Linked DNA regions of Oryctolagus cuniculus. The protein of the gene in region 1 purifies or fractionates together with the protein of each later gene. This does not show direct contact. Links are inferred from orthologs where the notes say so. Each region holds a gene or a part of one and is shown on either strand. Other genes may lie near its edges.

Evidence for each region. Proteins that work in one complex are often made in the same cells at the same time.
Region 2: the proteins of LPIN1 (region 1) and FBXW11 purify together in Homo sapiens (affinity purification with mass spectrometry; 4 studies listed by BioGRID and IntAct, with this or other methods). This does not show direct contact. The link is inferred for Oryctolagus cuniculus from reciprocal best matches to the Homo sapiens genes LPIN1 and FBXW11.

What each region holds. Positions count from the first base shown.
Region 1 is NC_091433.1:191,043,003-191,047,688, reverse strand, and holds the start of LPIN1 (phosphatidate phosphatase LPIN1), read left to right. Parts: upstream 1-1,533; 5' UTR 1,534-1,692; coding exon of another isoform or gene 1,693-1,791; intron 1,792-2,758; exon of another isoform or gene 2,759-2,761; 5' UTR 2,762-2,961; intron 2,962-4,486; 5' UTR 4,487-4,588; coding exon 4,589-4,686. UniProt on the Homo sapiens protein: Acts as a magnesium-dependent phosphatidate phosphatase enzyme which catalyzes the conversion of phosphatidic acid to diacylglycerol during triglyceride, phosphatidylcholine and phosphatidylethanolamine biosynthesis and therefore controls the metabolism of fatty acids at different levels.
Region 2 is NC_091437.1:58,575,874-58,580,051, forward strand, and holds part of FBXW11 (F-box/WD repeat-containing protein 11), read right to left. Parts: intron 2,964-4,178; coding exon 2,845-2,963; intron 375-2,844; coding exon 125-374; intron 1-124.

The DNA.
Region 1 (4,686 bases):
CTGCAGAAGCACTCCCCCCGACTCGAATTTGTGCAGAAGGGCCTGCACCTTCTGAGATACGATGGAAGAGCCTAGTGTTTAGGAGAATCGACGTGTAGATATTTTAGGTCCCACTGCGTCCCATTACCCGGGATGACCGAATGTGCTGGATTTGCACATGACTTACTAAAACGTGCATGGCACAATGACAAGTCAACAAAGCGACGCACAAATCCCACGCTGATACCAGGACCTGCTGCCCTGCCTTTGAACACCACGATGCTCTCTGTAGGGCTCCGTGGGACCACACATCTCTCTCCAAGTCTCCATGGTCTAGAGACGAAAGCAAAGAACCTCTCCCCTGTGAGAACTTGTCTTCCAAATGTGACCTTCCCATCAAGGTTCAAAAGTACCACCCACAGGAGAGCTTGCTGGGAACGGGTCAGGAGGCTTCGTTTTCCTGGAAGCCCAAGTGGCGCAGACTCTGCACTTTCCAGAAGGTTAAGGACTTGGGAATGGAGCTGAGAGGGCCAAGTTGCACCTTCTTCCCTGATGTGGGATGTTTCATACCAGGCATTCTGACCATACCCTTGGGCCACCCTCTGCTGCTTTCCCAGGTGCATTAGCAGGGAGCGGGATCTGAGGTGGAGCAGCCAGGACTTGAACCGGCACCCATATAGGATTCTGGCCTCGCAGGCAGTGGCTTAATCTGCTATGCCACAACACCAGCCCTGGAAACCTTCCATTTTTAGTTGATTGGGCAATAGCTCAACAACGGCATTCTGTGGTTCTTCTCCATTCCTACTCTGCTCTAGGGATTTTAAAGAGCTCCGCTCCTGCTGTCATTGGTGGGTTTTCTCCTCAACGACATCTGCTCCAGGACTGTGACTATGAGAACACCGCATTTCCACACCTCATAAACGATTGTTCTGTGTGGTGGGGTGCTATTAGTGGACTCAAGGCATTCACTTGGGGTGACACCGAGTAATTGGCCTCAAGCGAGAATTACTCAGGGAAAAGCTGACAAGCAAAGGAGACAGTGGGAAGGCAGAGTTTCCTAAAGGAACAGCCTCTCTGAGAAGCAGTTTGCCAGGGTTTTGACTGCAAAGGGTAGCAAGTGTGCATGGTGGAGAGCGAAGGAGACGGGCCCTTCGTGCCCAAGCCACAGCCGTCTTCACTCACTGCATACATAAGCCATCACTCCTGTTTTCCTTGGCTGCTGGGGGTCTGGCCCGTCTGAGTGCTGTTTTGCAAGGTCAGCCTTCCCGCATGGGCTCTCTGAGACCAGCTCTGAGGAGCAAACTGTGTCTGCCTCTCACCCTGGGTTGCGCAGCTTGGGTCACGCTGAGCTCCATGCTTTTGGGGAGGATCAGTCTCTGTTCTGAATCAAGGGCGGGGCTCCGTGGCTCCCATGCCACAACCTTGTCCATCTTAGTCTGTCTCTCCTCCCCTGGGCCCCACCAAATGCTGATGTCACAGAACCAGTGGGGACATCATAGTTGAGCCAGGGACAATGAGCTGTCCCTGGAGCTTTGCAGTGGCTCAGAAGAAAGGGAGGTGGAGCAGGAGAGAAAATGGGAGGGCAGGGGGTGGACTGAGGGGCAAGACCAGGGGGGAGCCAGCCATGCCCACCCCAACAACCACCACACCGGGGGAGGGGAGAGGTGGAGAACTGGGAGGAAGCGAAAAATCAGCCAAGACTCCAAAGTTGCTATGAACAGGGACTTCCTCACGAAGTCTGTGGAAGCTGGATGGGGTCCTGATGATTCACCCTCCAAATGGCGGCGAGAAGATTCTTTTCGGGTGGCCAAGGTACAAGGCAGGCAGGGAGGGAGGGTGGAGAATGATGACGCTTCTTTGAGAGCTGTCCAGGATTTGTTCATTTTTAAGGTTTATTTAGTTATTTGAAAGGGAGGGAGGGAGGGAGAAAGAGAGAGAGAGAGACAGAGAGAGAGAGAGAGAGAGAGATCTTCCATCGACTTGGGTGACTCCCCAAATGGGTACAACCTCCAGGGCTGGGCCGAGCCAGAGCCAGGAGTCAGGAACTCCATCCAGGTCTCCCACATAGGTGACAGGGGTCCGTCTTTTGCTGCTTTCCCAGGCATCTCAGCAGGAAGCTAGATCAGAAGTGGAGTAACCAGGACTTGAACTGGCACTCATGTGTGATGCTGGCAACACAGATGGCGCTTGACCTGCTGCACGCAGTGCTGGCCTCCAGGGTTTTATTTTCTTTTAAGATATATGTATTGATTTGAAAGGCAGAGTGACGGGGGGGGGGGGGGTGAGTTTCCATCCACTTGTTCCCAAATGGCTACAATGGCCAGGACTGGATCAGGACAAAACTGCTCGCCAGGAGCTCCATCTTGATCCCCCATGTGGGTTACAGGGCCCCAAGCACTTGGGCCATCTTCCACTGCTTTCCCAGGCACATTAGCAGGGAGCTGGATTGGAGGCGGCGCAGCCAGGACTGGAACTGACGCTCTAATGCGGTATGCCAGCGTCCCAAGTGGCGGCTCAACTGGCTGCGCCACGACACTGGCCTCAACTGTCCAGGGTTTTGTGTCGGTGTTTCCCTCACGTGGCTTTCCCCAGCACAGCCTCACTGAAGGGTGCCAGCAGGGACGGACACCTGGGGAGATCAGAGCTCTCTAACAGGACTCTTGGGGCTTCCTGGTCCAGTCTCTGTTCATTGATTTGCTCCGGGCCGTTGTCCAGTCTTCTCAAGGAGTTCTGTTAATCCGTATACGTACAATTCCAATGCATACAATTTTTCTTCTAGTAGTTGCTCTCATTAACTTGGGGAATGCCAGGGACGTGCCCTCTGGAAGAATGTGCCAGCCTAAAATACCGAGTGTGTTTTCCTGGAGCTCTCCAAGTTGGAGTCTGCAGAGTCTGATGGCTGTTGGTAGCACGAGGAATGGTAGGGACGAGAGCCGCGATTCCAAACCAGGACCCCTGGACGGCCCACAGCACCTTTGAGAAGTAGGTGACGTTTTCTTCGGCTTTTTCCCCCCTGCCCTTGCCCCCTCCTCTTTCCCTTCCTGTGTTCCAGGGGGTTGAGGTCGGTACCACGCTTAGATACATACTGAGTCTTGCAATCATGCTTCAGGGATTTTAGGAGAGTGGGCTTTTCATCTGTTCTGGTTTGTTCCTGAGTTGGGGAGGGGTGGCGGTCAACAGCCGACACCCACGCCCAGCCCCGCGTAGGGAAGCGCACACGGCTCGGTTCCTGAACCGCTTTTTTCTCCCTGGATGCCCTGCCCTTCTTTGATTGTGGAAACCAATGCAGAGTCAGTTCTCCTACACCTGGCAACGGCATCACTGGGAACAGCTCCAAGGGTTCTCCTTTCACGGAGCGGGGTCAGGACCTTGCCCCCCCCCACCGGGGAGGAGACCCCAGCCCACCCCGAGCCTGTGGGGGCCGAGGGCGGGGCTGTCGCTGGGGCCATCTGTTTTCATCAGCTCAAGCAGGTTGGCAATTGGTCATGATCACTGCTTGCCCCTGGAACAGACCCCCAGACCCTCTGGGATCCCCGCCCCTTCTCCCTCAGCCGGGCGCGTCTTTGTAAGGCCAAAGTCAGCATTTTGGCCCCTGCTCAGCGGCTTTTAGTGGTTCTCCAGAGCCTTCAAGGTCCAACAGCAACTCTCCGGGGCCATCTCAGGCTGCCGCCTGTGGGTCCCCACCCGCCTTCTTATGGTAACCATGCAACAAACCCCTCGCCTTATCTGATAACCTGCACAGTGAATCCTGAACCGGTTTTGAGCTCTCCCAGGGCCGCAGGTTTGATAAACTTGTCGCTCCGTCTCTAGCCCAGCCCCTCCTCTGCTGCTTGTCCCAGGCAGCGCCTGCAAAGTCCGGATCAGACCCCAACTGCTTAGAGCCGGAACCCTCCCACAGCCCTCCCCCTCTGCCCAGACCTCTCTAGCCTTTGGGTCTTCAGGAGTCATTGGCTGGGAAGCAGACGTGGCCCTCAAGAGCCAGTTCTGTGGGATTTGGCTGACCCAAGCTGCAGAACTTGTACAGGTTTCCCCAGTGCTGCTGCAGCAGTCTGTCTCTGTCCCGGGATCCTGCCCAGGACCCTCACCGCCTCCGGTTGTCGGGCCGCCTGTTTCCTACAGTCCCTGAGGCCGCCGCCTCCTCTCACGATGCCGACACTCCACTGGCGACACCGTCAGAATGGCCCTCGGTCTGGTGTGCATGTGGTGTGCTGTGTGGTTAGAGGGAGGTTGGTACGTGTCATGGTGAGGCCATGTGCCCTTTCCAGGGTGTCCTGCTGGGGCCTCCTAGGGTCACTGGGTGTCCCTGGAGGTGCTGGCCTGGGTCACTTGGTGTTTTGCTGCTGAACCAGAAAACCATAGCCTGGGTAATTGACAACGACCAGTTCTGTAGGCTGGGAAGTCTGAGACGAGGGGCCAGCCCCCTGGAGGGGTTTTCTGCTATGTCATAAGGGTGGAAGAAGGGCAAGAGACAGAACCACAATGAGGGACCAAATCTGTCCTTCCACAGGGAACCCACTCCCACGATAATGGCCTTTGTGGACCCACGAGGGCCGTGCCCTGTGACCCTACGGGCCACACCCACAACACCACCGCCTGTGGACTGTGCAGCATGTTCTTAAGGTGGTATGTACCAGGCTCTTCTGCCGTCCTGTGGCCTGGCCCAGTCTACACCCCGTGCCTTAGAGAACTGAACCCACGGATCGCAGT
Region 2 (4,178 bases), on another chromosome or scaffold:
GGCTGCACAGGTTCATGAACATTAAAGAAGAATAAACACCTTGCCATGTACTGACCTGTCTCCACTCTCTCTCTGGTCCATAAGAGACAGAAGCAGGCAGGGCTATGATTAAAGACTCACTTACTTTGATGGTCCTGTCACCAGAGGCAGACACGATGTATTTATCATCAAAGTCTACTACATTGACAGCAGCACGGTGGCCAACCAGGACACGGCGTAGAGTGATGTCGGTGGCCGAAGCCATGTCCCACACGGCAATGGAGCGGTCCTTAGAACAGGTCACCATGAGTCCATTGCTGAAGCGTAAGTGCAGTACAGCCTCATTGTGGTGGATCAATGTGTTGAGAACTTCACCTGTGTTCACATCCCAGACTCTAAATGAAAAGAGAAATGCATGCTGCTCAATTACTGAGAAAGCCAAGAAAAGACTCTGTCCTCTAAACTGAGTCCACTCTTTTTTCTGTTTGTTTCTTTTTTTCTGAGAGACAGACAGGAAGCTCCCATTCACTTGCTCACTCCCCAAATGCCTGCAACAGCCAGAGCCAAAAGCTTGAAACTCAATCTAGGTCTCCCTTATGGGTGGTAGGAACCCAATTACTTGAGCCATCACTGCTGCCTCTCAAGGTCTGCTGAAGTCAGGAAGTAGAGCCAGGAACCTAACCCAAAACTCCAATGTGTGACACAGATGTCTCCAGACTAAATACCTGTTCCCTGTATCCATTTTTTTTTAAAGATTTATTTATTTATTCATCTGAAAGGCAGAGTTATAGAGAGGCAGTGTGAGAGAGAGAGAGAGAGAGAGAGAGAGGTCTTCTATCCACTGGTTCACTACCCAAATGGCTGCCAACAGTCAGAGCTGGGCCAATCCGAAGCCAGGAGCCAGAAGCTTCTTCTGGGTTTCCCATGTGGGCGCAGAGACCCAAGCACTTGGGTCATCTTCCACTGCTTTCTCAGGCCATAGCAGAGAGCTGGATTGGAAGTGGAGCAGTGGGGACTCCAACTAGCACCCATACAGGATACCAGCACTGCCGGCAGTGGCTTTACCCACTGCATCACACTGCCAGCCCTGCCCTATGTCTATACTTAAAAGTACCTATGTACAGGATTACAAGGAGCCCTAGAAACAATTTATTTGCTGAGAAGTACTGAGATGGTTGACTTGACAGTCAGGTATTCAGGGACAGTGTTTGTAGGTTCATGCTGATGATGAATGATTGCTCAATGAAGTAGGCTTTGCAGTGAGTCTGAGATGGCAGGAAGACGGAGGTATAACGGCTGGGGAATTGAGAACAGTGCAGTTCTTGGTGACCTCTAACAAACAGACTTCTAGGTCTCTTACAAGTAAACTGGAAACTAGAAGTCATGATATCTCATCCAACACCACACCCATTTCTGTACTCAAATGCTTTATGGACAAAGCCAGGGTCTCCTACTTGCTTCATATTTGAGATACAAGATTTTTAAGGATGGTCTTGCCATAGCCTGGCTTTTCTATAACCCCAACCTCCTAAGATGACAAGTTCACATATAGTGGAGGAGAAGGCTCTGGTCTCTAGGACTGAGATGTGATTTCTGGCAGAAGCAGCAGCCTGGAAGTTCAAGGGCAGGAAGGGGATCCTGGGCTTGCTGTCAGCTGGGGAACAGGGAAGTCCGAGAGTGTGGCATGAGACTAGTGGCCACAGGATCGAGGAGAGGAAAGAGGATGGAGAATACAGTAACCCGGGGACAGACTCAGGGGCTATTGCTATCCCTCTGAGGCACACTGCAAAACAGCCCTCTTCCAGTACCTGATTCAGCCTAGAAGATGGATTTCCTTTAGACCCACATTCCCTTCCAGCCACCAGCCCACCAGCAGACAGTCCAGCTGAGGCGTCACTTAAGGACCTCTACTCAGATGGACTCATCTACACCCAGCTCCAGCTGGGGGAAAATATCCTTGTCCCAACTTGACTGAGGAAACTAGTTAACCTCTCTGGCTGTGGTTTCCTAATCCATCTATAAAAATGAAACTAGTATCTACCAACTTGGTAAAGGATGATGTGAGAACCTAAGAGTATAATATTATACAAAGTATCTAGCCAGCTATCTGGCACTCAGATTTTACTCTTCCTATGTCTCTCAAAGGTTCTGGAACCTGGGACAAGTGTTGGGCACAGTGGTTAAGATTCTGCTTAGGATGCTCACGTGTTGTATAAGAGAGCCTGGAATCTAGTCCTGGCTCCATTTCCAATTCCAGGTTCCTCCTAATGTCCTCTGGGGGACAGTAGGTGATGGCCCAGGTTCTTGGTTTCCTGTCAACCACACAAGACCCAGATTGAGTTCTGGACTCCTGGTTTCAGCCTAGCCCCACCCTGGCTATTGTGGGCATTTGGAGAGTGTACTAGTGGATGGAAAATATCTCTCTTGCTCCCTCTCTCCACCTTTCTTTTTTAAGATTTTATTTTATGTGAAAGACGGAGTTATAGAGAGAGTCCACTGGTTCACTCCCGAGATGGCCGCAATAGCTAGAGCTGGACCAGACCGAAGCCAGGAGCCAGGAGCTTCATCCATGTCTCCCATGTGGGTGGCATCCTCTGCTGCTTTCCCAGGCACATTAGCAAGGAGCTGGATCAGAAGTGAAGCAGCCAAGACATGAACTGGTGCCCATATGGGATGCCGGCATTGCAGGCGGCGGCTTTATCAGCTATACAACAATGCTGGCCCTTCCACCTTTCAAATAAAATGAAACATTTGTTAAATACAAATACAGCAAGTTAAACAATACAAAGTGTGTGTGCCAATCCCAGAAGCTGTGACTCTCAGTCTCCGCTTAAAATTTTAGAGCGATGAAGCTAGATCACTCACCTCACAGTAGAATCTGAAGAACCGGTTACAATAACACGTTCATCATACTGCAGACAAAGGACAGAGCCTGTGTGTCCTGTTAACACTTTCAAACATTCCAGGCTGGTTTTATCCCAAATCTATTGAGACAAGATCAATCACAAACAGTAACTTAGTATATCACGTTTTATAAATGTTATTGTCATACTTTATGAGCTGAATCAAAAAATAAAACACACCTGTGTTGCAGTAAATAAAAGCAGTTAAATATCATACATGTGGGAAATGACAAGAACAGGACAATGCTAATTTCTAGAACACAAGTGCTATTTTATTTAGATGTGCTGTTATACTATCAAAAACCCATATAAAAGGAATTATAAAATAAAAACATACTGTTTACCCTTTGTTTACAAAATGACAAAGATAAAAAATGAAACATTCAACATTTCAGCAAATTCAAGGTAAACCATGAAGAGTTCTAAATGAGAAAAATGTAACACTTCATAACAATCAAGTATTTAAAATGGTCAGAATAAAAACTGTCTATACAGTGACATAGTGACTACATACACATATATTTCTTTAAGGATTTATTTATTTGAAAGGTGCAGTTACAGAGAGAGAAATCTTCCATCTGCTGGTTTACTCCTCAAACAGCCACAACAGCTAGGGCTGGGCCAGACTGTAGGTACAGGGGCTCAAGAACTTGGGCCATCTGCTGCTGCTTTCCCAGGTACATTAGCAGGGAGCTGGATCGGAAGTGGAGCAGCTGTGACTCAAAGCAGCATCCATATGGGATGCTGGCACTGCAGGCAGCAGCTTAACTCACTATGCCACAGTGCCAGCCCCATGATTATATTTTTAAAGAAGAAAAATAACTAAAAGGAAATAAAATGTAAATAATAGTTATTTTTCTACTCATGGTCTTTTCCTGTCTCCATCTATTTGCCTTTTCTAGAATGTCACATAGTCAGAAGCACACAGTATATAGCCTTTTCAGATTGGCATCTTTTGCCTACTAACATGCAGTTAAGGTTCCTCCACATCTTTTTATGGCTTTAGAGGTCATTTCTTGTGTAGGTCACCTGGGCATCTGGCAATTAGGAAGTCCCTAGTCAAAATATCCAGCAATAAAGAAATCACCAGTGATGGAAAAACACTTACCCAGTGGCAATCTGTCTCAGATATGTATCTCCCAGGTTACAATCCAAGTTGCAGCACTCATCAGCCTCTATCTGTCCTGCCTCCTTTCAGTTTATTTAATAAATCTAACTCTTCTCTCTCTCTCTCTCTCTCTCTCTCTCTCTCTGACTGCTGGTAAATACTTTCACCACCTGCAACACTGTTCTCAA